Sus scrofa: one gene and its partners. The protein of the gene in region 5 binds, or shares a complex with, the protein of the main gene of each other region. Links are inferred from orthologs where the notes say so. Each region holds a gene or a part of one and is shown on either strand. Other genes may lie near its edges.

What was found.
Region 1: the proteins of CTNNB1 (region 5) and BTRC are in contact, whole or in part, in a crystal structure (PDB 1P22), measured with the Homo sapiens proteins. The link is inferred for Sus scrofa from reciprocal best matches to the Homo sapiens genes CTNNB1 and BTRC. Residues at the interface, in NP_001091679.1 of Homo sapiens: Tyr30, Leu31, Asp32, Ser33, Gly34, Ile35, His36, Ser37, Gly38, Ala39, Thr40; in NP_378663.1 of Homo sapiens: Tyr307, Arg321, Ser345, Leu347, Ser361, Ala385, Leu387, Lys401, Arg403, Arg426, Ala427, Ala428, Asn430, Gly444, Arg467, Gly468, Ala470, Ser484, Leu508, Arg510, Tyr524, Arg557, Phe559.
Region 2: CTNNB1 (region 5) and CTNND1 share a complex: the UniProt entries of both Homo sapiens proteins name them as parts of the cadherin:catenin adhesion complex. The link is inferred for Sus scrofa from reciprocal best matches to the Homo sapiens genes CTNNB1 and CTNND1.
Region 3: the proteins of CTNNB1 (region 5) and LEF1 are in contact, whole or in part, in a crystal structure (PDB 3OUX), measured with the Mus musculus proteins. The link is inferred for Sus scrofa from reciprocal best matches to the Homo sapiens genes CTNNB1 and LEF1. Residues at the interface, in NP_001159374.1 of Mus musculus: Lys180, His219, Ser250, Phe253, Tyr254, Thr257, His260, Asn261, Leu264, Asn290, Lys292, Phe293, Ala295, Ile296, Asp299, Lys335, Trp338, Thr339, Val349, Gln375, Arg376, Gln379, Trp383, Arg386, Asn387, Ser389, Asp390, Thr393, Asp413, Ile414; in NP_034833.2 of Mus musculus: Gly11, Asp12, Pro13, Glu14, Leu15, Cys16, Ala17, Thr18, Asp19, Glu20, Met21, Ile22, Pro23, Phe24, Lys25, Asp26, Gln31, Lys32, Glu33, Lys34, Ile35, Phe36, Ala37, Ile39, Glu45, Asp47, Leu48, Asp50, Ile51, Lys52.
Region 4: the proteins of CTNNB1 (region 5) and CTNNA1 are in contact, whole or in part, in a crystal structure (PDB 1DOW), measured with the Mus musculus proteins. The link is inferred for Sus scrofa from reciprocal best matches to the Homo sapiens genes CTNNB1 and CTNNA1. Residues at the interface, in NP_001159374.1 of Mus musculus: His118, Thr120, Asn121, Val122, Gln123, Arg124, Leu125, Pro128, Ser129, Met131, Leu132, Lys133, Ala135, Val136, Asn138, Leu139, Ile140, Tyr142, Glu147, Leu148; in NP_033948.1 of Mus musculus: Ala58, Leu61, Ala62, Ser64, Val65, Gln67, Ala68, Thr69, Asn71, Phe72, Lys75, Gly76, Lys78, Ile79, Glu82, Met104, Ala108, Phe111, Pro115, Cys116, Arg121, Met124, Ala128, Leu131, Leu132, Val135, Leu138, Leu139, Ala142, Asp143.
Region 6: the proteins of CTNNB1 (region 5) and PAK4 are in contact, whole or in part, in a crystal structure (PDB 6WLX), measured with the Homo sapiens proteins. The link is inferred for Sus scrofa from reciprocal best matches to the Homo sapiens genes CTNNB1 and PAK4. Residues at the interface, in NP_001091679.1 of Homo sapiens: Lys672, Arg673, Leu674, Ser675, Val676; in NP_001014831.1 of Homo sapiens: Ser331, Gln358, Thr404, Asp440, Lys442, Ser443, Asp444, Phe461, Leu475, Val476, Gly477, Thr478, Pro479, Tyr480, Trp481, Met482, Glu507, Phe516.
Region 7: the proteins of CTNNB1 (region 5) and FBXW11 are in contact, whole or in part, in a crystal structure (PDB 6WNX), measured with the Homo sapiens proteins. The link is inferred for Sus scrofa from reciprocal best matches to the Homo sapiens genes CTNNB1 and FBXW11. Residues at the interface, in NP_001091679.1 of Homo sapiens: Leu31, Asp32, Ser33, Gly34, Ile35, His36, Ser37, Gly38, Ala39; in NP_036432.2 of Homo sapiens: Tyr244, Arg258, Ser282, Leu284, Ser298, Leu324, Lys338, Ala364, Ala365, Asn367, Gly381, Arg383, Arg404, Gly405, Ala407, Ser421, Leu445, Arg447, Tyr461, Arg494, Phe496.

What each region holds. Positions count from the first base shown.
Region 1 is NC_010456.5:112,566,264-112,569,763, reverse strand, and holds part of BTRC (F-box/WD repeat-containing protein 1A), read right to left. Parts: intron 3,190-3,500; coding exon 2,940-3,189; intron 2,448-2,939; coding exon 2,329-2,447; intron 657-2,328; coding exon 546-656; intron 1-545. UniProt on the Homo sapiens protein: Substrate recognition component of a SCF (SKP1-CUL1-F-box protein) E3 ubiquitin-protein ligase complex which mediates the ubiquitination and subsequent proteasomal degradation of target proteins. Recognizes and binds to phosphorylated target proteins.
Region 2 is NC_010444.4:13,206,432-13,210,609, forward strand, and holds the start of CTNND1 (catenin delta-1), read right to left. Parts: upstream 2,801-4,178; 5' UTR 2,554-2,800; intron 1-2,553. UniProt on the Homo sapiens protein: Key regulator of cell-cell adhesion that associates with and regulates the cell adhesion properties of both C-, E- and N-cadherins, being critical for their surface stability.
Region 3 is NC_010450.4:113,824,984-113,829,253, forward strand, and holds the start of LEF1 (lymphoid enhancer-binding factor 1), read left to right. Parts: upstream 1-1,470; 5' UTR 1,471-1,532; coding exon 1,533-1,742; intron 1,743-2,447; exon of another isoform or gene 2,448-3,008; coding exon of another isoform or gene 3,009-3,017; intron 3,018-4,182; coding exon 4,183-4,249; intron 4,250-4,270. UniProt on the Homo sapiens protein: Transcription factor that binds DNA in a sequence-specific manner. Participates in the Wnt signaling pathway. Activates transcription of target genes in the presence of CTNNB1 and EP300.
Region 4 is NC_010444.4:140,681,570-140,685,575, reverse strand, and holds the start of CTNNA1 (catenin alpha-1), read right to left. Parts: upstream 2,801-4,006; 5' UTR 2,656-2,800; intron 1-2,655. UniProt on the Homo sapiens protein: Associates with the cytoplasmic domain of a variety of cadherins. The association of catenins to cadherins produces a complex which is linked to the actin filament network, and which seems to be of primary importance for cadherins cell-adhesion properties.
Region 5 is NC_010455.5:25,162,970-25,167,094, reverse strand, and holds the start of CTNNB1 (catenin beta-1), read right to left. Parts: upstream 2,801-4,125; 5' UTR 2,653-2,800; intron 2,629-2,652; coding exon of another isoform or gene 2,208-2,628; intron 1-2,207. Other genes in the region: basic proline-rich protein-like, read left to right, coding at 2,208-2,628. UniProt on the Homo sapiens protein: Key downstream component of the canonical Wnt signaling pathway.
Region 6 is NC_010448.4:47,868,390-47,872,403, reverse strand, and holds the start of PAK4 (serine/threonine-protein kinase PAK 4), read right to left. Parts: upstream 2,801-4,014; 5' UTR 2,591-2,800; intron 1-2,590. UniProt on the Homo sapiens protein: Serine/threonine-protein kinase that plays a role in a variety of different signaling pathways including cytoskeleton regulation, cell adhesion turnover, cell migration, growth, proliferation or cell survival.
Region 7 is NC_010458.4:52,323,901-52,327,400, reverse strand, and holds part of FBXW11 (F-box/WD repeat-containing protein 11), read right to left. Parts: intron 3,209-3,500; coding exon 3,090-3,208; intron 1,287-3,089; coding exon 1,176-1,286; intron 317-1,175; coding exon 238-316; intron 1-237.

The DNA of each region.
Region 1 (3,500 bases), on a different chromosome or scaffold from region 5:
GGACATGGGATCTATCCACAACATGAATGGACTCTATAACCACTGGAAATCAGACCGAAGGAAAAGAAGAATTACTGAACTCATTGTGAATAAAATGCTAGGTAGTAAAGACAAGAGAGCTATACTTTAGAAATCACTCAAAGGGATAAAATTTCAAGACCCTACAATCCTAAGCCCCCTCAAAGATACTATCTGCCAACATTTCAGTTTTATTAATAAGTCACTATTTTTACATGCTTATGCTGATATACTGGGTTTATCTGGCTCTTCGCTTTATAGGGCAAAACAGACAAATATATAATAACGACCCCCCCCAAATATTAATGAAAATCATGAGCAAAAAAGTACAATTAAACGATTGGGAAGAATATTTTGGAAAAGAGTAAACAAAGGAGAGCTGAATATACAAAAGACATAGGAAATACTGTATCAGACTCTTTCTGTGATATCTGTAATCTTTTAGAGATGAGGAAGGCTATATTAAATGTCCTCAGGCAGGAGGGATTAAGAAGTAGATGCTTTTACAACCCTTTTGGCAAACTCACCCATCATAGGCTCCACTGACTATCCTCTTATTATCAAATCGAATACAGCGCACCAATTCCTCATGGCCTTCTAATACTCGTAAGCATGCACCACATTCTATGTCCCATAATCTTAAAGAGAAAATTGAATCAAGGAAATTTTCATGTATTCTTTCCTAAGTTTGGAATGTTATAATAACATACTTCATATATCTTTTTAAACAATCCACACTCATAATACACAAATTTATTGCTTTTAATGTAATTTATTTCCTTTCTGCCATATAACTTGGGCAGAAATATGTACAATTTAATTCAAATATGTAGTATACATTTTCAAAGCATCAAGCCTTATATAATTCTGTAATCAGGGTCATAAAGAAATATAGAGGATGATGCTGCGAGTGCGGCCCTAATATTTAATAAAATTTTAAAAAAGACAAAAAAATATATAGAGGATGAATTCAATGTATACAGTTGCCTATGAAGGAAACAGCTAAGCACAGAAAATAATGTTTCCTGAAATCAAAGTTAATAAGAATGAAACACCCGAAGCTCCTACTGCAGCTCAGAGGATTAAGAATCCGACATAGTGTCTAGTGTCTACGAGGATGTGTGTTGGATCCCTGTCCTACCTCAGCAGATTAAGGATCCGGCATTGTTGTGAGCTGTGGCATAGGTTGCAGATGTGGCCAGGATCCTGCATTGCTGGGGCTGTGGTGTAGACCAGCAGCTACAGCTCCGATTCAACCCTTAGCTTGGGAACTTCCATATGCTACAGATGCTCTGTAAACAGGAAAAAAAAAAAAAAAAAGAAGAAGAAGAAAAAAGAAACACAGTATCAGTGACATCCTTCTCTCACAACGTATGTCCACCTCTGTCACTGAGGACACTCTCTGCTTTTGTCCTCTATCTAGGACAGTTTTTCTCATCTAATGAAATTGCAAAGTTCTCAAAAAGTTTTATATGCTAATTTAAATTGTATGCTTTGTGACTAATTCCAATGATTTCTAGGAATGATAATTCCCTTAGATATAACAATAGCTCTGCTATTTTTTCAATGGTCTTTTCATTCCCTTAGTACTTCTTTGGAGGGGAGAGGGCTGATGAATCTTCCAAATTCTTATGTGTGTCATTCATCTTCCTGAAGGGAAAACACCAAAAGACACTTCAATTTGTGGATTCTTCATAATTTCAAAGACTGGTAACTCCTTGGTCAGTTAGGCAATGCTAAGCAAACAAAATGTGCCATTTCTAATAGGGAAACATCTTTTTACTTTTTTTAAGAACAGTGAAAAAGAGAAAAGGTCTTTAGCTATTTATTATTACTTTTCAACTGTAGACAGGAGAAATTTAAAGAGAAAGTCCTCCATTTTAATCTCTCTCGCCCACTTCTTCATTCAAACAGTACCTTTCATTTTTTATTTTTAGGTTTTTTTTGGCTGCGCCTATGGCATGTGGAAGTTCCCAGACCAGGAATTGAACCCACGCCATAGCAGCCACCCAAGTCACTGCAGTGAAAATGCCAGATCCTTAATCCAGTGTGCCACAAGAGAACTCCCAGCAGTACTTTTTAAATAGGTCTATCCGGTGATAAAACTATTATAGGGAGGAAACACATCAACAAAAGGCTTTGCTGTGCTTCCTCTCTGCTTGGGGCAAACTTTTGACCTGTACAAAGCTACAGAAAGGAAAAACATTTTATCATAAACATTACACAGTTGGAGATTTGTTTGATCTGTGTGCAAACAATGAATGGCAGGATAATACTGATCCCTTCTGGGCAAGGGCACTTGCTGCTCACCTGATAGTGTTGTCAGATGAGCCACTCACAACCAGCCTATCTCTGTACTGCAAACAGGCAATTCCACGTTTGTGTCCATTTAAGGTCCGTACAAATTCACAAGTACTTGTGTTCCATACCTAAAACAAAAATAGCACTTGGCAGTTGATTTGGTGCTTTTACTAGTAAAATCTATGGCAAAATGGAGCCTTAGGAAAGCAGAAAAATAGAACTGGACTAATAGGGGGAATTTAACTTCTCAAACCAATCCAAATCAAATCAAAAACTGACAGGTTTAATTAAAAGTAACAAAGGGCTAATTTGTAGCTGGCCGCTATTACATGAGAATTCCTCAAACTAACATACTCTGATGGGGTTAGTCTGGTCTTGCAGACTAATTCTTGAACCTAAATTTACCCTTGTCTTTTTCATACTCAGCATTATTTACAGGAATAAAATACCTAACCAAAATTGTCACACAACTTCTCTCTCATTACCTTTTACACATAAACTAGTATCTGATTTAAATATTAAGTATTCTACAGAGATGGTTAGACACTCTGCCCTTGATCAGATTTCCATATGAACTCCCCTATTTCAAGCTGGGGACTTATTAAAAAAGGCCTTATTACCTTTATAGTCCTGTCCCCAGATGCAGAAACGATGTACTTGTCATCAAAGTCCACAACATTGACTGCAGCTCGGTGTCCAACAAGTACCCTCCGGAGGGTGATGTCAGTTGGGGAGGCCATATCCCATACCGCAATGGAACGGTCTTTGGAGCAGGTCACCATCATGCCATTATTGAAACGCAAGTGCAGAACAGCTTCACAATGGTGAATCAATGTGTTTAGCATTTCACCTGTATTTACATCCCACACCCTGGAACAAACAGCATTAAGATCATCTGAGATTGCAGTGGTCCTCAAGCTACAATCCATTACACCCCTCCCATGCTAATCTCATAGTTAGGGTTGCACCCTACTCTCCTTTTGCAGCTTTGAGATTAAGCTGCGGTAAAGTGCACTGATGGAGCATGGGGAAGTGGTACACAGACGACTGGACTGTGAGAGTGGGAAGAGGAAGGGGATGGGATGCTGCCAGTGTGAAATCCTTAAGATACACAACTTGGAAATCTGTGCTAGTTGTTTGGGGGCAGGAATGAGCCTGCAGCCACAGTCACCAGCTAATTG
Region 2 (4,178 bases), on a different chromosome or scaffold from region 5:
AAAGGGTTGTTGTGGAAAATTAAGCAAATAGTTTATGCAAAATGCTTAGCACTCAGCAAAAAAACAAGCCGGGGGTTGGGGGAGGGAGGGCTGGCAGTAGGTAACAGGGGACTACCAGGTACCAAAATAGAAAGCAGTAAATTATACAAAGCTAATCATTTTGTTATTTCCATGCTTAATGTATTTGCACATCCATCCCATCTCTCATCCCTAGAGAGCAACTACCTTATAAACCTAACGCTGAATTGCGATTACTCGAAGCTTTTTTTTTTTTTAAAGGTTTCCAATTTTTATCCTAGCTGAAAGAATATGTTCTAACCCCCTGACTCTCCATAATTGGAACTCTAGGAAAGGCACTAGGACTCTAAGCATCCAAAAGAGACCCCCACCTGGAACACAGGCCATACCTTAGTCATGTAACAAAGAAACCAACAGTATATAGGAGTCACACAAGCAAAGAAAAATCTGTACAACTCATACTTACTCGTCATTTTTCACCCCCAAGTCAAAATGAGGAGCCAAACAAAAAATAACAGATTTACTTATTCACATCCCTTATTATATCTCCTAGAAGAACAGGTAGAGGTGAGGTAAAAGACAAGTCTTCTTCCATCTTATCATCCAAAAGGTTCCAGTAGTACACACCCAGTCAAAACAATGCCTCAGTTCGTGGAAATAGTCCTGGTCGCTAGTCAACTAGAATGCTCACTGCAGCTACACAAAGCCCAGTATTTAAAGCTGGACCCAAAGCACTACTACCATTCAGTCAGCCAGAACCTATTTTCAAACTGCCTTTGTACTCCTTCAAATTCCCTCATTCCTCCCCCTAAAGGTTGAGTGGGAAACCAACACTCTGGCAGCAACATGACCAATCCTCCAAAGATCCAAGAACCCCCCCACCCCCCTTAGGCTGGCGTCAAGGCAGAGAGAGCATTTGAAAGAAAATTTGGAAATGAAATAAGAACTACAGCCCAATGGACTGTACACATTGTCCTTTTTTTCTTTGTAACTGCGCTTGCTATAATTAGGAGATACTCCTAATTATACAGACATTAAAATCTTACTGTAGCTCTTGCATAAATTATATTAAACGGAGAAACAAAGTTCTGTTTCCCTTGAAGACACAACCTTGTAAGAATGAACTCATCTTTCAAGAAACACTTTTGTTCTGGAAAAGAAATCCAAGGAAGTATTCTAGTCTAAAAAGAATTGAGGGGTGAGGGGCACAAAATCAGAGGATTATTATACATACATACCAGTTTAAAGCTAATGAGCAGCTAACACAGGCCCATCTTTTTACAATTAGGGCAGTATCTACTGCAGTTAGTTTTCAGACTGATTCTCATTTTCAAAGAAGATGGAAGAAAACATCCAGTTTTCAGTTACTGATGAGTTGGCTATACAATTATCTAGAATCAGTATTTTTGAAAGAATGTATTTGCAAAACAAAAACTAATCTTAAGATTAAATAGAAGATATGAAAGCACAGTCATGAGCCTTCAGCTCTTACAGATTTCTGATTTCATGGCTAATTAACCAAAGGAAAAACTCACCTCCAAAAAACAACTTTCAGTTTGGTTTAAAAGTAAGAATTCCCCTTTTGCTTTCTCAAATGCCTTCTAAACACTAAAGTTGGTATAGGTATTTTAGTCTTAGCCTATCATTATTTTAATCCAAGGCCCTTTCAGAGAGCACAAAGCTCAAAATATTTTCATGTGTATCGCCACTTTACTCAGGTGAACGCAAAAGCATGATTAGAATTTCCTTATCCCTTTAAGCACAGAAACCAAGGGTTATCGTACATGCCAACTCAACCTACACCTCCACAAACCTTTGCCATCAAGGTAGTTGTAGAAGGAAGGAGATGGCGATTCAGTTACCATGGATCCATTTGTTTTCTTTTATAAGGCAAAGCAGGGAGCTAAGTCTAGCCGGAGAATGAGGCTCCCACCCACCGCACCTGGAAAAGTAAAAGAAGGATCCACCCAGGAACAGCAGGGCTGAAACTGATCTGGGCTGTTCAAACTCCAGAGGAAAAAATACCACCATTTAAGCTGCAAAACTCCCTGCAACTTTCCACTTTCACAAATCCAATGATTAAAGGGAGGGAAAAAAAAGTTTTAAAACATGAATAACTAGCTTCCGACCCGGACAAATTCCTTTCCCAACCCACACGCAACATGCCAAAAAACCCAACTTTTGGTTTGGGCTCTGAAAACAGAAGTTTGTTAGCCTAACCTAGAAAAAAAATATGAAATAAAAGAACACACCAAAATGCAAATTTACAGAATTGCCCTCACCCCTCCGAATCTATTCATCTCCCTATATTAGAGAGACCCAGAAGTTTGTTCCTGGTTCTTGAATATTTTACTTTGTTTCAAATATAATACCAAAATTCCCCAAATGAGGAAAATTAATAACCGCTTAAAAGTTACCCATCAGCGTAACAGAATCTCTTGTTTCTAAATTCCCTCCGGTTACCTTAAGACAAAAATTCGACTTGGCTTATCCTCCTTCACCCATCTATACACATATTTTTAAAAAGGCACACACCTCAAATGTGGACTTCTAGAAACCAGTCCTCTAAGAAAGAAACCCAAGCCTTCGTCAACGTGCTGAGAAAGACAAATCCAGCAAGGGAGTTGATTTTTCGCCACCTCTTCCTCCTTTCAGGGTCTTTCCTGCTCTTCTTTCTCTCTCTCCCTCTTTTTTTTTCTCTCAGATCCAACACCTAAAATGGAAGTTGCACCCAGCCAAAGGCTAGGGAGCCTGGGTGGTGACAAACTGATCTGGCAGCCCTACCCCTCGCTTTCCTAAGTGATGTCAGCCCCTGGGAACTTCCAATCGGAGCCAGGCATAAATCAGGGAGCTGATTTTATCCAATAGGAAACTTTATTATAGGAATTAAAAAAAAAAAAAAGGAGAGAGAGGAGGGGAAAAAGAGACAGGGGGAAGTTTTATATATATTTATATTTAAAGTGGAGACTGTACGATCTCTGAGGAATTACTGCAGAGCTGGGGGGTTAGGGGAAGGGGGCTTAGGGAACAAGGGCTTTTTAAAACGACAGGGCCTAAGCGCGTCAGTTCTCTTTGATGCTGGGGTTCTTACTCCTTCCTTTTTGGGTGGGGAAGCAAATAAAAGCTGATTTTATTTGCCTACTGCTATTTAGTTTGTTGCTTTCTACCCTAAAGCATTTTCCCAAAGGAAGACAAGAAGGGAAGGAGAGAGAAATCCTAGAAACAGGACTACAATGTCTTGAATGGGATGGTAGGGGATATCTGAGGTAAACACTCAATTTCATTGTTTTGGTTTAAATGCATTTAGGCTGATTAGGAAAAAATAAATGCTTGGACTTGTTCATACTTTTTAGTGTGTATGCTTTCAATGAGAAGGAAACTGAATCCTCTAGGTTATTGAGGAAAATCAGTCTTCTCATTTATCCCCAAATCAAAATAATGTGGCATTGAGTGGGAGAATAAATGATATCCCATAAACAAGCAATATATTTAGAGTAGATAACAGCATGTGTAAGGAAAAGAAAGTCTCACGTCTAGAAAATTCAATTTATTTGTGAACTTGAAGCTTAAGACATCCATTCCCTTTTTACGCTTGACCTAAATAGAGGATAAAAACAAGTATTCTTTTTCTGAGTTAAGAGTTATATTATAGGAGTTCTCATCGTGGCGCAGTGGTTAACGAATCCGACTAGGAACCATGAGGTTGCGGGTTCGATCCCTGGCCTTGCTCAGTGGGTTAAGGGTCTGGCGTTGCCCTGAGCTGTGGTGTAGGTTGCAGACGCGGCTCAGATTCCGCATTGCTGTGGCTCTGGTGTAGGCCGGTGGCTATAGCTCCGATTCGACCCCTAGCCTGGGAATCTCCACATGCCGCGGGAGTGGCCCAAGAAATGGCAAAGACAAAAATAAATAAATAAATAAATAAAATAGGGGTTAAGAGCATAGATTCTGTAGTCTGACTGGCTTCAAATTTTCCTCCTCTGTGAGTACACTTACTCAAGTAAATGTACTATATCCTCTGTGACCTTGGAAAGGTTATATAACCTTTCTGTGACTCGGTTTCTTAACCATAAAATGGAGATAATAACTATCTCACAGGACTGTTGTAATTAAAATACACACAAAGTTCTTAAAACAATGTATGCCATATAGTATAAATTCAA
Region 3 (4,270 bases), on a different chromosome or scaffold from region 5:
CCCGCAGTTTCTTGTCAGTTTCACGCGGGCAAAAACGTGCCTTCCTTGGGTCACAAGAAGCGCGGGATCCTTCCTTCGCCAAGTTGCCTGAATCTTCTTTCTAGGCGCTCTCCGCACGCGCGCGCGCGCTCCCTCTCTCTCTCTCTCTCTCTCTCTCTCTCTCGCGCACACACACACACACACACAGACATACACACCCCAAAACTAGGACTAGTCCTACAGGCTCTGGGAAAAGAAAAAAGTCCTCAATCACCAGCTCCTTCTCGCCGTCCCCCTCCTCCCTCCCAGCGGGCAGCCAAGGAAAGCTGGAGGCGGGGGAGGGGAAGGGGAGGAGAAGCGACGCAAGTGGGTAGCTTTTCAGCGCCGGCGAGGCGCGGGAGGAGGAGAAGCGGTGGGGAGGCGCAGCCGCTCACCTGCGGGGCCGGGCGCGGAGGAGGGATCAGGCTGCGCGCTCTCAGGCCGAAGAGCCAGGACGCGCCCGTAGCCCCGCAAGCCGCCAAGCTCTGGGCGTCCCCCTCCCCCGGGCCGGGCGAACCCGAGGGGTGCAGCTCTTTGCTTTGACAAGCGGCCGGGCGGAGGCGTGGAGAGCAGCGAGCCAGCGAGCGAGCCAGACTGAGAAACTCGAGCCGGGAACAAAGAGGGGTCGGGCTGTGTGTGTTTCGGCTCCAGCTCCGGGCAGAAGCTTTTGGGTCCGCGGTCCCTGCTGTGACTCCCCGAGACCCAGCCGTGCCCTCCACTGCCGACTCCCTGAGCTTGCACGCACAAACTTTATTCTTGGCAAACTTCTTTTCCTTTTCTTCCCCTCCTCCTCCGCCCCCACCTTCTCCTCCGGCAGATTAAATTCGCCTGGAGAAGGAAAACCGAAGCGAAAGGGAAGGAAACAAGAAGCTCTAAAACGGACATCTCCAACCCTGGTGGCTTTTTTTTTTTTTTTTTTTTTTTTTTGCTCTCCAGGAAGTGGACATTCATTATCTTCTGATTCTCCTTGCACCGTCTCTACTGGGGCAAACGGAGCCGTTTTGCCCGAGTCCCTTATTTTTCCGGGAAACAAACTCCCAGATCGGCCTCCGGGGGAGCTGAGGTGGAGAGATTTGCGTAGAGACGCGCCGGCGGACCCTCCTCTGCACTTCGGAGACTCGAACCTCCTACGACCCGGGAGACGCTGGGGGCGTCGGGTGGCCGCCCGGGCAGTCTAGCCTAGCGTGCGCCACGCTGCACGGCGCAGACGCCCCCAGAGGCGCCGGCAGCGGCGGCCCTCGCAGCCCTGTGTCCTTCGGCCTCGCGGACGGGTGCCGGCGTGGGTCTCGGCCGAGTGGGAAGACGCGGACGGCCGCCGGGACGCGGACGCCGCTGCAGTTGCTCAGGCTGCCGGCCGCCAGCCCTGCGCTCGCCAGCCCGGCTTCCGCCTGCTGTCGTCCCTCACACACCCTTCCAATTCTCCTTCTCCTCCCCCACCTTTCCTTTACCCTTTCTCTCTTCTGCTGTCGCCTGGGGTGCTCCCCCAGCGGAGCGGAGATTACAGAGTGGTCGGGATGCCCCAACTCTCCGGGGCAGGCGGCGGCGGGGGGGACCCGGAACTCTGCGCCACGGACGAGATGATCCCCTTCAAGGACGAGGGCGATCCCCAGAAAGAGAAGATTTTCGCTGAGATCAGTCACCCTGAAGAGGAAGGTGACTTAGCCGACATCAAGTCCTCCTTGGTTAACGAGTCCGAAATCATCCCGGCGAGCAACGGACACGAGGTGAGCGGGCCGCTGCCCAGAGCGGCGTGGCGGGTCCGGGGGAAGAGCAGGGAGGGAAGGCTCTGGACAGCCCCAGCTGATGGGTCCCCAGCAGGTCTCCTGGGGCCGAGGTGGGATGGGGTGAGGGGCTGGGCTACTTTGGTCAACGTTCTTCGTTTGTGCGTGTGTGAGGTGGAGGGGGATGCAGGAAAACATTCAAAATGGATCCGTTTTGGGGTTCTGTGACTAAACTGTTGGTTTGCGGCCCTTAACCCATAACGTTTCGCCTTCAGACGTTTTCGTGGGGTTGAGAATGTGCGATGCATTAAAGCGAGGATGTCTGAACAGCACTACTGAGAAGTTCTTCCGTAGGACGGAAAACAAAGTGCACCCGCTCTCTCGATAGATGTCTCTGCAAAAATGCGTTAAACCACCAAAAGCTTAGGTAGAAACGAGCAGAGCCACAGGCAGAAAGGAAGGGGAGGCGGGCGTGGGCCGAGGACAGGCGGGGCCATCCCAACCGCCGCGGAGCCAGGCTCGCGCCCAGCGGGGCGCGCGGCGGGGGCGGTGCGGGACCCGGTCCTTGCCGCCGCCCGAGTCCCAGTGCCGGGGCTGGCTGTGGGGAGCCGTGGGCGCGCCGAGCGGAACCACCCCAGGGCGGGGGCACTCGCAGTAAGGTCCGCAACGCTAGTTTTCTCCACCCACAGCCACTTAAAGAATTGAAAAAAAAAAAAAAAAAGTTTATATTGGGGGTTAGTTTGGGCCCGGATCAGGCCTTAAATCTATGCAAAAGAAAGGCGAGCCAGAGTCGAGATGCGGCGGAAGCCAGGGCACCCACTCAGGGGAGAGTGGAAAGCACGTTATCAGATCTCTGGCCCGCTGCGGGCGATAGCGTTGGTAACCCGAGTAGAGTAAATAGAGACACGTGGGTGCTGGCGAGAGAAAGCCGAGAGCTGGACCTCGCGGAAGGGCTATTTCAGGCCGAGCTGAGAGCTTTGGGGGTGGGGGAGCGGGAGAGCGGATGGACCCTGATACCCGACACTGCACTGGCCACCCTTGTTCAACAACTGGGAAACGCTTTGGAGGAAATCCGGTAGAAAAGTCCTGACATTCAGAAGATTTCACCAACGCTTTTTCCCTCCAAAGAAATTCGGAGGGTATATCCTTTTTCCTTAAATGGCATCCTTCTGCCCCCAAAAAGAAGGCGTGTGAGGTTTTGGGGGCGGGGACATTTTGGGTTTTAAACAGCAAGTTTAAGAACACCTCTGAGTTACCTTCTTTATCCCAATGGCAGGGGTGAGTACGCATTTTGGAAGTCGGGGGCCTGGGAGCCTGGGTTCTAAAGAGAATGTAGGGATGTTCTGTCCCCTAAATCTTTCATCCCAACGTGCCAATTGTGCGGGAGGGGGCGAGGGAGGCCGTGGCAGCGGAGAGGATGCCCCCAAATCTGCTTAAAAGATTTGTGATTGTGTGTTCATTGGGGGGAGGTTACCAGGAGGACACGTGTTAAAGAACCAAATAACATCCACAACACTCGAGGCCAAACTCATATTTGTAGAGTGGCCTTTTAAAATTTCTACTCATTTTGTTTGTACGTCCTTTTGCTATAAATAAATTCGCCACCCGCTTCACATCGTCTACCTGTGTCTGCATTGGGGAGAAGGGCACTGCATTTGAAGCCCAGAACCCCTAGGTACTAGGGCTCTGTTCATCTTTGCTGGTGGTGAGTGGGCATGGGGCAGACCCAAGAAAAATGGTGAAAGGGTAATACCACTGATTTGCACGTGGTTGAGGCTGGGTGGATGGTGGTTACAGAGCTGATATTAACTGGGCTGCCTTTTACGTGTCTGTAGCCTTACTCTCAAATTTTCCTCCCTTTAACCACAAAATAGTTCACTTTTCTCTTGTAAGCTTGCACTCAACCAGCCATGGTAGGTTATAAGGGGTGGAGCTCCTGCTGCAACCAGTTTGGGACAGTTGCCTAAAACCCCCTTTTGTGAGTGGTGGGCTTGTTTTTATTTAAAATGTCATTTTCAGTTGCAAAGTGATATTTCAGCCCTCCTTTAATCAGATCTGATTGAAGTAAACAGTGGTTGTGAAGAAGCTATCAAAACGACCAACCCCGTTAACTCAAATTCCTATCATATTTAGGCATCCAAGCAGCCTTGATGTGTTTTAGCAAATAGCAGTCAGAATAGTATATGAATTGTTCCCAAATTTGTTTTTGTTACTATTTTCTTTATGCTTTCCAGTCCTGGGCAGATAATTCTCAAAAATGTATGCTGAAAAAAAGATTTCTCAGTAGTCAGCCCTAGCCTATCCTCATAGATTAATAGAATAAGTAGATTGAGTTGCACCTAATCCTCCTCCTCCTCGAGTTACCAGTGGATACACATAGCACTTTTGTCACAAACTCTAAGGTGATTTTCTTTCTTTTGTGGGTGGGGATTCATGCTGTTAGGTGGCCAGACAAGCACAGAGCTCTCAGGAGTCCTACCATGACAAGGCCAGAGAACACCCTGATGACGGTAAGACAGTAATACCACTCC
Region 4 (4,006 bases), on a different chromosome or scaffold from region 5:
AGGCCAACAGGCATATCAGTAATAAGATCAAGTGCCATGTACCTGGTGAGAAGAGGTTTGCTACCAGACAGAAAAGTGCTAAGGGGGACTTGAGATATGACTAAAAGCTCATGTAAGTGATGGAATCCAAACTGGGTGTGGGAGCAGAGGAGGAGCAGCAATGAGGAAACAACAAACCAACAGACCCGCCTAGGGCCTAGGCCGCTGCATCCAATCCTTCCCTAAGGCTTATCTCGTTTCTCCAAAGTACAGCTCCCTTTAGCCCCACCACCTCACTCCTACCATCCTCCTGGATCAACCTCCTACTTCTACTAGTGCACAAACACAAGCCTTGCAGGCACCAGCAGGAGTGATCTTCCTAAAAAGGAAATCAGATCTTGAAACTTCCTACAATGGCTTCTCACAGCTCTTAGAATAAAATCCAGGCACGTGACCTGGAGTTCCCTGGCAATCTCATGCCAGGGCTCCTTCCTACCCCCAAAGCATGCATCCAAGCTACACGAACCTTCTCTTAGGTCTCTAAACACAAGGAGTTTTTTGCTATCTCAGGACCTTTAAGATCAGAGGACTCTCCACCACCACCCCCAATATCCAGGTCTGCCTGTCCCGTCACTAACTATTGTTCCTTTTCAGAAATCCCTCAACTCTGCCAGTTACTGCCCATCTCCATATCTAGGTTAGGTCACTTATCTCATTTTGGTCCTGCAGAGTTTGCGAAGCCCCTGGACACTGAAGGAGATCTCTGATGCACAGCTGACCATGTGGGTGAGCTAAGACATCTGCACTCAAAATAGAAGCTTTAGCTTTAGCCCACAAAGTGTTGGACTTCAGCTTACATTTGATGACAGGGAGACTGTACAGAAGTGATCCTCAACCCGGGAGAGGGCACCCCGATCTCTAGGTCACCCCTGGAAAAAGATGTGACTGGTGGTGGGAGAATGATGCCACATCAGTGGTGTGAAGGGCTGAGATACGTTAGAATCTTGGATATAAGTGGTTTGAACAACAACAGAAAGATTAAGAAACAAGAGCCAAAAGTATAAGGAAAACCAGGAGAGATTTATAATCCAATTCCACAAACGCCTTTATGCCCTTTCATGCTTCTTCCCGACAAAACCCCACTGCTGCTCTAACCAGTTCAAATGCCCGTCCCCTCCTGGAAGCCCTCTGGTCTTATCCAAACAAAACTTACTAGATCCCCCTGCACAATTCCACGAGTTTCTCTTATCATTATTATTACGTAAGGTGTGACCCACGCACAAGTTTTTGGTCATTACTGTTGTGGTTCATATCGCCATCGGCCTTGCACTACACCCAAGCTGTGTGTCCCTTCCCTATTACACGGTGGGTTCTTGGGGCAGAGACTATTTCTTAATCAACTGTGGGCCCTTAAGAAAGTGGATAAAAATGATTTTTGTAATTTGATAAAAGTCAGAAAGAGTAAATCACTGGACAAAAGCTATGGATTAAAGTACCACATCCTCACTAAGGTGATTTACAAATCCACACTTTCCTAAAGTGACACACACCTATACAATCTTCAAAAATCACTGCTAAACATACGATCCTCCCATGGAAATGCCTATCCTGTTGCAACAATACAGTGATGTAATCACTTCCTTCAACACACATAAGAAACGCCTTAATAATCTAGAGAGTGAACATACCTTACTCTTTTCTAGATTATTGTAAATTCTGTACAAAGCAAACACCAAAAAATGTTGCAAAGACGCAGAGGGACATAATAGGGTTTCAGTCCTGGATTGGAGCCAACTGCCGCCTGCATTATTGGGAAGCCATTCCTGCCACACCAAGGTTAGTAGGCATTCAGACAACATTTTTTCCAACAAGTGTTTCTCCCTCTCTCTCTCTCCCTTTCTCTCTCTCTCTCCCTCTCCCACACAAACACACCCCTTTAGAAATCAACAAAAAAAAGATTCCAACGTCCCTCGTGCAAACCAGAACTAATTAGAGTTCAGGGCGTCCAATTACACAGCACAGAAGTCCGAGGAATTTCACAACAAAGGTTCACATGTACACGCCAAAAGTCCACACGGGTGTGGCGCCCCTTCCCAGCCAGACTGTGTCCGAGAAAGGGACACGCAAACTCGCACATGCGCTCGGGCCGGGAACGCGAGGGTGCGGGCCCAGCAGCCGCCCCGTCCACCTGACCGGCAAGTTTCGGTGGCGGGGGGAGGGGTGCGATGCCAGAAACCACAGACCTCACTCGCTTCCCCGGAAAACGCAACGCCGCCGCCCGCCCGCCCGCGGAACCACGCACGGACTCTTGCCCTCGAGGAAGGCGGCCGAGCGGGCTCAGCGCGGGCCTGGCGCGCGCACCGAGGCTACTCGAACAAAGTTTCCAAGCCCGGAGAAACTTTCCCGAGAGCAGGCGCCGCGGCGGCGCGGGGCCTGCCGCTCGCGCTGCTCCGGCCGCCGCGGGCCCTCAACTTCCCGAGCGCCAGTAAGCGCCGGCCCCGCCCGCTCCACCAGGGCCCAGGCCCGGGGCCCCGCGGCGAGAGCGGGCCGGAGGCCGCAGCGGCGCCCACCCGGAGCCCGAGGCCAGGCGGGGTCGCAAAGGGGACCGCCCGGGCCGCCCGCCCGAGGAGCCCCCTGCCCAGCGAGGGGCGCCCACACCCGCGCGAAGGCAATTACCTGCGGCGAGCGAGGCGAGGCAGGAAGATTCCCGAGGCCCGAAGCCAACGGCCGCCGCTTTGTCTGCCCCTGTCCGGCTCCAGGGAGGAAATGGGCCGCCCGGCGCCCCCGCCCCGCGTCCCGGGCCCCGCCCGCCCTTCCCGGCACCTCCCTCCGGCGCGCTCTTCCCGGCGCCTCCCGCTGCCACCCCGCTGGCCAGGGTGGCCCCTGACCCGGAGCGCCTGGTCCGCCAGGCCCGGACCCCCCAGAGGCCCTCTTGCTCTCTGCCCCTGACCCTCGAGGTTCTTCTTGCCAAGCCCCTAGTGGGCACTCTGGCCGGGAGAGACCCCCACCCCCGAGCGGAGGGAGGAGCGCGGGTGCCTGGAACAGCCCGCCAGCTGGGGAGGGCAGGTGAGTCAGCGCGCGGCGCACAGGTGAGTCTCCGGGCACCGCCCGCTCTGGCCCCACCTCCCGCTGATGCCCCTGGGACCCGGCGGCCCGGCGGCGCAGACTTCCGAGTGCCACAGGTGTTCCCGGGGCACAGGCTTCCAGAAAAGAGCTCCAGGCCCATTCCCTGGCTTTACGGAAGGAAAAACTGAAGCCTCACACCTTGAGGCAGAGTGCAACTCGAATCCAATTCCAGGGACCTCATAATGTGCGATGGGAAAGCCTCCTAGCAATCACCCAACTCAGCCGGTCGCTTGACAGATGGGTAAACCCAACAGCCTTCCTGATGGAGAACAAGAGGCTTGTGACAGGAGCATCACCTCCTGAGATTGTCCCCCTCCCCACACACGCACATTTGAAGGACCTGGCTTCTATCCCTATCCCTCTGGCCATTTAGGGAATTTCATTCCCACTCTTCCTTCCTTATCTTTCTACTGAACGCTCCCCCCAAAAACCACAAAACAAAACCAAAAATACTACACTCTCAGTCTGGTATGACTTCCTTCTCCATCATGGGATGACGAACGAGTTGATTTCTGCACTGGTCTATTAAGTCCAAAATTATGCATGACAGCAGTATCCACTGTTCGTTTTGGGCTGAGCTCTGAACAGGGTGCTAGGGAGACCTGCCCTCAGCATGTTTACCTTTTTCTACTCAAATCTCCCTTTCCCAGGAAATGCAAACTCCTGGAGGGCAGCAGCTGTATCTCCTACAGCACCCAGCACAAGGCTCATCCCCTAGGCGGGGCCCAGTTACTCTCTGTAGGTGCAAGTGCCCACTGTAACCTTAATGAGGCCATTCTTGTCCAGCCACAGTCCATGCTGTTTCCATCTTCAGAGCTTTTGCTCCTGTGGTCTCCCCTACATGGAGTGGCTGTGGCTTCCTCCAGCTACACTTAGCTACCTTAGAACATAGTATTCAATC
Region 5 (4,125 bases):
ATCAAGCATGCTTCCACCCTAGCTCAAAGTACAAACTTAAAATTTACCACCTACTCCTCTACAATTATTATCAGTAACTAGTAAATCATGAAGAGAGAAACAAAATCCTATTGTAACTGGATAGATGTATTATTTCAATAACACAAGTTTCACTGGCTGAAGATACTTATATAGTCCATATCTAGGGTTTTAATCTCACTGCTACTTTTAATGACAGAGAATCAAACTTTTGAATTCTCCACATCCCCAGTTTTAATAATACTTCTGCTCCTCTTTTCACCCCTCCCAATAAAAAAAAACAGTATTTGCAGATAGTTTTCCTGAAAGACCAAATCTCAAAATACCCTTAGAGAAATATGCCTAATTCATGTTTTCCTTCCTATGGGGGGGGGTGGAGGAGGGAAGTATCTATGAAAACAAAAATACACTACTTCACTTACATGGATAATTTTTATTCCAGTCATCACTGGCAACAGTAGGAAGTTCAATTCAGCTTATGTTTTAATACTGGGATCCATACTTTTCTACATAATTATCTTGGTAGAGGAAGTAGTCGGATAACGTTTCAAAAGAAAACTCTTGAATACCTATTGACACTTGAACACTGCTAAATGTTTCTTTTTTGTCCTTTTTTTTGCCACTTTATTTTTAAAAATTGGTTTTTCCTGAAAGCTATCTTAAATGATTATTCTAGCCTATGGAAAAATCTAAGCCTAGAACTCCACAAGGGCTCTAAGCTACATGCTATACTAAACTTTCTAGTTTAGTTTTTTTATTTCCCCCTCAAGGACCTTAGACTTGAATAGTCTCAGCATTCCTTTAATCCTATAGAAGAGTCTTCTGCAAGTTTTTCGAGTTACTGTTGCAATCACTTTAGGGCCTTGTACATGGCCTTTAGAACAAAGACTAGGTCAAAGTAATGAATATTGGGTGCAAATTAATCAAATTTTGTGCAAGGATATTCTCAAACGTTAATGGCACTTTTTTTTTTAACCCAGAGATTTTGTGGGTTTAAATGTAAAAGTAAAATAAATGCAGCCATCGCCTTAGTTCAGACAAAAAAAAAAAAAAAAAAAAAAAAACCCACAAAAAACCCTCCAAAGTATGTTTTTGTCACTGATTTAAGCAGATACTAAACAGTAGCATTATGGTAAATAATATTTCAAGCTATGTCCAACATTTCTGAAGACAAGTTAAGGTGAAGATAGCTGAAGGTACTGAATGCACACCAAGGGACAATAACGAAATGGCTTCCTAAGTTCCAGACAAAATACTTTATAACTCAGCGATCTGAAAAACATCAGTCCAGACTTTATCAAAGGCTAGCCGTCGCTTCAAGTTGCTGTCTAGTCTAAGCCACCACTATTCACGACACAAAGCTCTCGTTTCACTAAAACCACTCCTCGATTTCCTTTTGCGGACCTCTGCATACCAGCAGGCCAGTCTCCTCATTCACCACTCACAAACTCGGGGGGGAGGGGAGACCACAGATGTCTGGAAGATACAAAGTAGGAGACAATGCTCCCTCCAACAGGGAACTGAAAACGAAGGAATCAACTACACCCAACTGCCAAAGCTTTCAAGTTTAGCGGATCCAGTAGCGGGCTTTGAGAACTGAACTTCGAAACTGCATTCCAAGTCCTCGCCCCAGACAAAACACGGAACGAAGTTGCAACGCTTGAATTTCCTTCGGGCAATTTCGTAGCGAGGGAAAAATTCATCTCGCTGGAAAGTGCTCTCAAAATCAAGTTTAGCTGGCATGAAATTATCTAAATAAAGAATTTCCACGAACAAAATTCTCGAAGCAGTCAGAGGCTGAGTCCGGCGGGTCACTTGGTAAGAGACAGTAAGCCAGTCGCCCTCGCCCTTATTTTTCCCAGGACCTTCCTTGCACACTGCTTTCACTCACCTGCACCGTACAAGAAAATAAAGGTGCTAGATATGGATTTTATTTGTGCAACTCCTCCTGGAGCATCGCTCCGTCTGCAATAATAGTTTGGATCCTCTACGGTTTAAAGTTGCTCCGATTTAAACAGGAGCCAAAACCAAACACACCAGCAGAGCATTAAAATAATACTAACGATTCTCTTAATTCGTCCTTAAGCACGAAAGAGGGACTCTGAAGAGAAAGTCTACTGGTCCTCTCCTCATGGCAGATGGGACCTCGGGTCCCAGGCCCAGCGCCTGTACCCCAACTCCCCTTGAAGGCCCGGAAGGCGGAGTCCCCCGTCCCCACCCCGCCCCCCACCCCGGCCCCGGCGCATCCAGAGGCGCAGGGTCCCTCCCCCAAACTCGGCCGCGGCCGGAGCCCGGGACGGAAACCACAGACCCCCCTACTATCCCCCGCCAGACAACGGAGCTCCCGAACGCGCCCTCGCGGCGCCCCCTCCCCGCAAGCGGCAAACCCGGGGCCCCCAAAGAGCCGCGCGACCGGAACCCGGGCCCGGCCGCCGCCCTCCGCCCCTCGGGCCGGGCCCGCCCCCGCCGCCTCCCCGGCGCCCCCAGTCAGCCCCCAGCTCCCCACCCCGGCCCTCCGGGCTGCACCGGGCCCGGCTTCCAGCCGCCGCCGGGACCGCGCGCCCGCGACGAAGTTTGGCTCCGAAGAGGAGCGGGAGCAGCCCCGGAAGGGTAAGGAAAGGAGCACCCAAGCACCTCAGGGGAACAGGCTCCTCCCGCCGCGGGAGTCCGACCGTCCTCGGCCTGCGGTGGCGGCTCGGCGGAGACCGGAGCTGCTCCTCGGACCTTCCTCCGTCTCCGCCTCCCCTCGCTCTCAGCTCCCGGAGCCGGGTTAACGCGGCTGCCACAGACCGAGAGGCTTAAAATGGCGCCGCACAAGGAGCTCTTATAAGTCGCGCAGAATCCGCTGTATCCTGCCGCCAGCGGCGCAGCGCGGAGCGTTCCGCCGCGCGAGGACAAGGGGCGGGGCGCGGGCGGGCGGCGGAAAGTAGTCCCCGCTCCGCCGAGCCGCCCGCCTCGGGCTGGGGCGGGGCGCTTGCGAGCTCTTCGGGCGCTCCCGGGGGTTAGAGGCCGGCGGCTGCCGGGCCGCGCGGGACCGCAGGACAGATCCGCCAAGGCGCTGTCGGCCGAGATGGGGCGGCCAGGGCACCCGCGGGCCGGGATGGGCTGGGGGAGGGCGACCCCGAAATTCTCCACTATCGGGATCCCGAAGCCCCCCGGCTCTCACTCGTCCAGTGCCAAGAGAGCGGACGCTGGACTGGCCGCTTGCTGCCCGTGGGAGGCGGCACCCGGACCCCGGCCCTACGAGGCCGAGCGGCACAGGTCCCAGGAGGGCGGAAGTTCGGGACCGGGCCAACCGCAGTGCTGAGGTCGGGGCCCGCCCGCTCCCGGCGCTGCCGGGCGCTGCTGCTGCCCCTATGCAAGTCGAGGGACCCCGGCGCGATCGTGCTTTCGCCGTCTTTGCGGTCTGGGCCCCAAGCTCTCTGCAGGACTTGGCTCCTAGCCGAGCCGCACATTACCTCCACGGTCTGAATCGTAGATTCCGCATCCCTACCGGCTTGAATCTGGAAGTGAAGTACCGGGCCGAGCCTCCTGTTAACCCAATCCCAAAGACTGAACTCGTGTTAGAACGGGCGCCTAGCCCGCAATTCAACAAGTCCTTAGTCCCTACTGTGAACAAATGACTGATAGAAATGGACTAGCTCTAGAGCCCTGTCAACTAGGTTAATTCTTACAGATTTCAATTTTATCTGGTTCCACTTTACTAAGTATCAATAAATTTGTTGGGGGAGGATTTTTCCTCGGAGGAAGTTCATGTATAGATATTACTTAGTTGAGAAATCCAAGTTGTTGTTTATGGAAGGAGCTATCAGGCAGCTTCTAATTTTTAAAAACGAATTTTCTATTCTTAAAAACATTTTCTAATTCGTCCTAATAGGCTGAAGCTGGGTCTTCGTTTCCCTTCGAAATGTCTCCATTGTAATCCAGCAAGATTGGCATTTGTCAAAGATGAAAAAATTATGATCCATTCACTTTGTCTAGTCTATTGTATGCTTATTTTTCCTTCAAAACAATGAAGAGCATACAAAAAGCAACAGTGAAAGTTATCTTCAGGCTTTTATCCCTGTAATTAATGCATGCAAACAATAGGTCTTTATGCATAGGTAC
Region 6 (4,014 bases), on a different chromosome or scaffold from region 5:
TGACCCTGCCAGAGCCAGGTGGGGGCAGGGTGGCTGCCGGAGCAAGCCGGGAGGCTGATGGAGAGGCTATGCCACCACCTCTGAGACCCTCCCCAGGGAGCTGTAGCAGCGGCAGCCTCAAGACTAGTGCTAATCCGGAGTTCTGTTGTGGCTTAGCAATAAAGAACCTGACTAGCATCCATGAGGACGCAGGTTCGATCCCTGGCCCTGCTCAGTGGGTTAAGGGTCTGGCATTGCTATGAGCTGTGGTGTGGGTTGCAGACGCAGCTTGGATCCTGCTGGCATACACCAGCAGCTACAGCGCTGATTCGACCTCTAGCCTGGGAACTTCCATATGCCGCAGGTACAGCCATAAAAAGAAAAAAGAAATTAGTGCTTACCCAGTTCCTATTTTGTTCCAGGCCCTAGGCCTAGCGTTTATGCTCTGCACCCTCACAGCAGTTCTACAGGGTAGCCACTATCATTATTCCCATTTTGCAGAGAAGGAAACAGGCCCAGCCTACAGTCACACAGCCTGTAAGTGATGGAGCTGGGTGTGAGCCAGGCACCCTTGCTCCAGCATCCTCTCGAATTACTCCCTAGTACCACCCCAGAGTGCCACACACGGGGCAGCTACTCATCGGCCCCTGCCCAATGCCCCCACCAGGCTGGGCAGCCTAGGGGTCTCACACAGGCCACACGCTGCCCACAAGCCCCCAACTCTGCATCCCTGGCCTCCACTCACACCTTTCCTCCTGCCTGGCCAACGCTTTCCCATCCCCCTACTCGTCCTTCAGAGCTTGCCCAGGGACAGAGTTCTTGGCCCCGGTTGGACATTCTCCGGGTCCCCGGAACATGTCCTCGCAGGTGGCATCACCACTGGTAGAGATGGAGCCATGTATCACAGGCTAGGGGTCTGGGTCCAGTCTGCTCCCACCGAGGGACACTGAGGGCCCTCAGGGGCCAGGGGCTCTGTGTATTTTGTCCACTGCTGCAGACTCAGCACACAGCACCCAGCCCCGTGCCCAACATTCAATCCCCACCGACCAGCATCCTCTGCAGACTCTGCAGACGAGGCAGTGCTTCAGGTGGAAACTCAGGGAAAGGACAACCTGGAGAAATTCCTGCCCTCGAGGGGCCCAGCATCGAGATAGAGAACAATAGCGAGATAAGGAGTGTCTGGGGGCAGGCTGGTCAGGCGCAGGTTCCAGATTAGAGGCAACTGGAAAGTCAAAGACCTGGAGGGAGGCATGAGCCCATGGAGCTGAAGAGCAAACAGGCCGGTGTGCTTGGACCTTGGGGAGGGATGGGGAGAGCAGTAGGAAGTGGGATGGGCGTGCCTGAAGACCATGATGAGAGCCTGGGGTTTTAAATACAGAGAACACCCGACTCTGTCCAGGGTACCGCCCCAGGACCCCCGCCAGAAGCCTGTCAGACTCCCTCGGACTCTGGGCCACCCACAAACACCCCATCCCACAGGCCCAGGGGAGCCTCTCCTCCCAGATCACACCCCTCCATGGAGGCCAAAGAGACAGCCCTGCCCAGCCCAGCCCCCTGCTTCCAGGAACAGACCTTCAGCAAGCTACGATGTGGTGACTAGGGCCAGGAGCTCTGGGGTCATTCAAGATTCAGCTTGGAATCTGCTTCTGTCACTCAGTAGAAACTCTTTGAGCCTCACTTTGTCTGTCTGTAAAGTGGGTCCATCTGGTACCCACTTCACAAGATTATGGTATAAGTCCGGGCACACAGGGCGCTGAGTACAATGTTAACTCTCATTAAGCATCAACCAACATCATGAGAATCTGAGAGCCTGCGGAGCCTACAACTCTGAACCCCGAGTTCAAATCTGAGCTGCACCACTTACTCATGAGAAGACCCTGGGCAAATCACTTAACCTCTTAATAATGGCACCAAGCCCATAAGGTTGTGTTCACGATCAAAGGTAATGTAAAGCATTTAGAACAGAGCCTGACACACAGTAAGTGCTCTAGGAGTGTTTGCTCTTATTTTCATCATCTGTGGGAGGAGGGCTTTCTCCTCTTCCCCTCCCCCGCCCCCCCCCGCCCCCGCAGGAAGCACCCTTGACCTTGTTCTTGAATGTCCTACCCCTCCTCTTCAGCAACACGTCCCACCTGGGTTTTAACTTCTGACCCCTGAGAACATCACCTGTCGGGCCACCAGGTTCTGATCTTTGCCCCCTTTGGTCAGGCCCCACTTTTGATCCCATACAGATGTCCCCCAACCTAAATCTCATTCATTTGCTCCACTAGCTGCTGCCCTAAACCTCCAACTCTCAGACCCTCGCAGGCACATCCTCCCTTCAAATTGACCCCCATTTTTTTAGACATTCGCCCCCCTGCCCCTCCAACACGCTCCTACTTCAAATTTCCAATTTTGCACCCCTTCGCCACGCCCCCTTTGCTACCACGACCTCTGACCTACTCTACACCTCCCCCCTGTTCAACGTAGACCCGCGACCCACCCACGACGCGACCCTTTCCTTCGCGAGTCAACTTTGACCCCAGCGGCCCCGCCCCCTATTCCCGTAAACGCTCTCCCACCGCCATCGCCGGACCCCCCCCACGTCGCCTGGCCAGATCGCTTATCCTACCGGCTCGGCACCGCAGTCGCTCGCGGCCTAGCTGCTCGGCCCGGAACTTGGCGCGCTCACGCCGCCCTCAGCTCTCTTGCGCCGCCGCCACCACGGCCACTGCTGCCGCCATGTTGAATCCCCAACGAACATCCGGGGCTTTCCCCCCTCGCCGCCCACCAGTCCCCATAGCAACGGGGCTGACCGGCCCGGGGCAGGGCCGGCTCAGGGGCGGAGCTGGGTGCCCGGCAGGGTCCGCTCCAGCCTCTGATTGGTGAAGATCGTCCAATCGGAAACCTTAGGGAGGAAAATGCCAAGCCGGGATTGGAAAATTTGGAAAGGGTGCGGGGAGGCTGGCTCCAGCCGGCTGAGATTCTTAAAGGGGAAAATGGTTAGGCGCCTGCAACAGTCCTTCCCACCTTCTCTCAAAAGCAGTCATGGGGGGTAGAAGGCAGGCATGGGTGATTATGGCCAGAAACAGCTTTTGAACTTTTACTATGTGCCAGACACCCCGTCAAGTGCTTTACTTGCATTATCTTGCTGAATACTCGTCACAACCCTGTTATTAATATCCGTTTTACAGATTAAAAACTGAGGTTCAGCGGGGCGAACTAGCTCAGTTGGGATCATAGTCAATAAATAGTGAGTTTGGACGACCTTTGTCTGTCTGAGTCCGGGAACTTGACCTGGAACCAGGACACTGATTGATCTTAATCTTTTTAATAAGTTTTTTCAAAAGTATTTATTTGATTTGTTGGAGTTCCCGTCGTGGCTCAGTGGTTAACGAATCCGATTAGGAACCCTGAGGTTGCGGGTTCGATCTCTGGCCTTGCTCAGTGGGTTAAGTATCTGGCCTTGCTGTGAGCTGTGCTGTAGGTTACAGTTGCTGTTCGGATCCCACGTTGCTGTGACTCTAGTAGGGCGGCATCTACAGCTTCGATTCGACTCCTAGCCTGGGAACCTCCATATGCCGCGGAGGGGCCCTAGAAATGGCAAAAAGACGAAAAAAAAAAAAAAAAAAGAAGTAATTGATTTGTTTAAAAAAAAAAAAAAAAAAAAGGAGGGGGAGGAGGATGGGAAACCCCCGTAAACTAAACATTTTTTTCCTGGATTTCACTCACTGGTCTCCAGCCACTTTGCTAAAAAAAAATCAAGTACTCATCTACCTCAAGGTCATTGCATTGACTATTCCTTTTGTTGGGCATAGACTCTCCCCCCTGGTACCTTCATGGCTCCGTCCCTTCTCTTCTTCAGGGTTTTACTCAAATGTCACCTTATCAGTGGGACTGTTCCTGCCCACCCTGACTAAAGCAGCCAAAGTCCCTCTCACATGCTACTAAACCACTTACCTTCTCTGCTTTTTCTTATTTTTTGTTCCTCTTATCACGTTCTAACAGGCTAGATGATTAGCTAATCATAGTTATTGTTTTTCTCCTGCTGGAATG
Region 7 (3,500 bases), on a different chromosome or scaffold from region 5:
CCTACAAATAGGAAAGCCTGCTTTCACATTTTAAGGTGCATTAATACTCTGTAGGAAAAAGCTCCCAATCCTATGAATGTCAAATGTTCTCTGATTTTGATTGAACAAAACTAAGGGACCCATGCATTTCGCAGAAGGCGTGAGTCACAGAAAGCTTCCAATGACAGGCCCAGGGAGGTCGAGCGGTAGCGGCCAACGGCCACAGGGAAGCACTTCCCATCTCAAGAGATCACATACCACCAGTGTGCGCAGACACAACGTGCTTGCTGGGGCTCGGGGGTCGAGAGCCGCTTGCAAGTCCCAAACTTTGATTTTCCTGGAAAGGAAAACGAGAGCAGGGGGAAGGTTAACATGTGACGTGTTGTGAAGCCTTCCTTGAGAGAAAGGAGTGCATCCGAACTGCCTACTCTTAAGAGCTAAATGGGGAACCTGCTGATGTTTTGACAAGGTATTTTAAGCCAACTGTATTTGATTTTGGAAAAAAATAAGAACCTACACACTCTCAGAATTGCTGGAATTGTGAAGAAATATTATTTTAAGGGAGATAAGAAAACAACTTCATGTTATCTGAACTCAATTCCTGACCTGATAATCTATGTCACCAAATTCATTCATCAGGGGGCTCTCTAGGGCTGACTAGGTGCTGCTGACAGCTAGGGCTCTTTGTGAAATTCCAAGGATACCTTTCTTCAAACTAAGCAAATGCTGAAAGTTAATAATAGGAGTATGAACAGGCCAACGAACCCGTTTGTGAAGTATATATAAGGTCATTGCGAAAGGTTTACAGTTGCCATTTGCTCATTTTAAAAATCACGAGGCTTTTTAAAGAGGATGTGTTCAATTCACCAAAAGGGGAAAAGAAGTTTATCACTGAACTCAAAAAAAAAAAAAAACAAAAAACCAGTCTGGTTTAATTTAGGGCTGGGACAAAGACTAAATTCTTACAGAGCCTAAAAGGCTACTCCCTGCATTTACAATAATGGTAAAAAGTCTAAGCTCAGTTCATCCTTCTGGGCCTGGGCCTGAGTGTCCTCACTTGACCAAATGCTATAATAACACCTGCCACCCCCATTACACAGAAAATACTAGCACAGGACCCGGCACATACAGAGCTGCTTAATATTTTCCCCCTGGATATGGCTGCAGCCGTGCGTTTGAAAATCTCAAACACATACCCATCATACGCTCCACTGACAATCCTCTTGTTATCAAATCGGATGCATCGGACCAATTCTTCATGTCCCTCTAGGACTCTCAAACAGGCACCACATTCAATATCCCATAGCCTTGAATGAAGAACAGATTTCTGTGAATCAACTTCCTATGTGTGATTCACACTATCCATATGTGATTTTTCACTTTCCTGAGTCTTTATTTCTATCTCACTCCCAGTCCACATTATACACATACAAATACAGAGATATATACATATATACACACTCACACACACATTTCTATGTACATTTATATAATTTGTGTGTTTTTTAAGAGCTAACTTGGAAGGAAGGCTTACTTTTCATTATATTTCCTTTTATATAGTTTGAAACTTAAAAAAAAAAATCACATGCATGTCATTATTTAAATAAGACCAACAAACAAGAAATGTCCATTATATTTAGTTCCTAGGCATTCTTGTCATGTCTGAGTTGATGAACCCAAGTAGCCAAATGGTCTAGGAAGGATTTTTCTGGGGGAGATAGGATTGCAGGCTGGAAAGAAGAAAAAGCATGTGGGTGTGTGGGCGGCTAACAGATGCAGCCCAGGGCACGGGGCTTCCACCCCAGGCACTTCTAGCCTGGAGACCAAGAGGCCCACTGAGGTGAGAACGGGTGGATCGGCACGGTGGCCTCCCTCTCCTGATGAGGCTTAGGGACACGCCTTCCTAGATGCAGACTGCACACGAGGGTTGCCTAGGTTACCAGGTTAGAATGGGAGCCTCTCATTAGGTACATGCAGTGTCTGAGAAGTAGAAGCCCATTGACTACATCCGGCTCTTTTAAATTCTAGAATATATTTTTTCTATTATCATCATGCAGAAAGAAATCACAGCAAACTGAGATGCCAAACCACAGTTAGCAAACTAACTCTATAACGACGTTTTCTTGGCCTCTTCCCCCAGCAGTTCCTACCATACATCCAACGAGTATCTGACCACAGCCACCCCCACAAATCTTCTCGGTGTTGGTGACGGTGGGTGGCTTCTCTCACCTACTGTGAACAGAACCACTCAGCACTGACTCCAAAGTGGTTCCCTTCTATAAACTCTATGGCAATACACATTATTATTTTGTAAAATCTCAGAGATTTCAATCAGGAGGTTAAACTGTTTACTGCTGAAATATAAAGTAATACGAAGCATAAAGAAAAGCAACAGAACCAAGATTCAAGTCCTTGGTTGACTTTTATGATAGCCTAAAACTTAAAATGATCAAGAAGATGTTTGGCAGTTATAGCTATATTGTGGTTTGCTTGCTTGCTTTCTCTTTTAAAAAATAATCGTGAACCCAATCCTCATTTTGCTCAAACAGGCAATTTGTTTATAGCAAAGCTACTAGCATATGTTGGGACAGTGGCAAAATTATTTGGAATAATTAAATAAATATTTAAGGAAAGTTCTTAAGACAAAACATGTTTAAGGATAGTTATTTTTATTAGAAAGCAAGGACAGTGAATGTTGGGGAGAAAAAAGGGAGATAAAAATAAATGACCAAACAGGAACTGATGACAGTGCAGGGAGAGATGGAGAAAGCACACTCTCATCTGTTAGGGAGAGTGGCAGGAGCTTATGGGTGAGGCAAAGTAGAGTCAGACTGGAGCATCGTCTGTTGTGAGGCGTTAGAGTATTAAGTGGTCTTGGGTGGGGCTGGGGTTGTAAAACCTTGTGCACTGGAGGAATCTTGAGAGAACACTCAGGGCGTACCCAATTTACCCACTTTAGTATGCAGAGCCAGACGAATTAAGAAGTGACGTGAGGTTTTCTTATCCCAAGTAGCCCCCAAAACTGAGTCTTTTGAACATTAGGCCTGGGAGATGAGCCAATACCATGGCAAAAAGCAGCCCACTCTGTCAGCACACCAGCTTCTACCCACCTTATGGTATTATCTGATGATCCACTAACAACCAGCCGATCCCTGTACTGAAGACAGGCAATGCCTCGCTTGTGCCCATTCAGAGTACGAACAAATTCACAGGTGCTTGTGCTCCAGACCTGTCCAACAAACCAACAATATTTTTAATAGTGAATCCAGAAGAGTCTTCTCACAATACACCTTAAAGAGAAAGAACTAAGAATGACCGAAATACTTTTTTATGAAAAATTACTCTTGTTGGGGAATGGACTGGACAGAATAAAATTTTCTTAGCTGCTGAGTGATAAAACTGGACTGAAATACAGAGGAAAGTTGTGAAGCCTCCAAACCTTGAGAACTTCACAAAGAGAACATCTCCTGGATGGTTCAGACATTCATTTGCCTGGAGGGAAGACTCTGGGCCAGATTTTA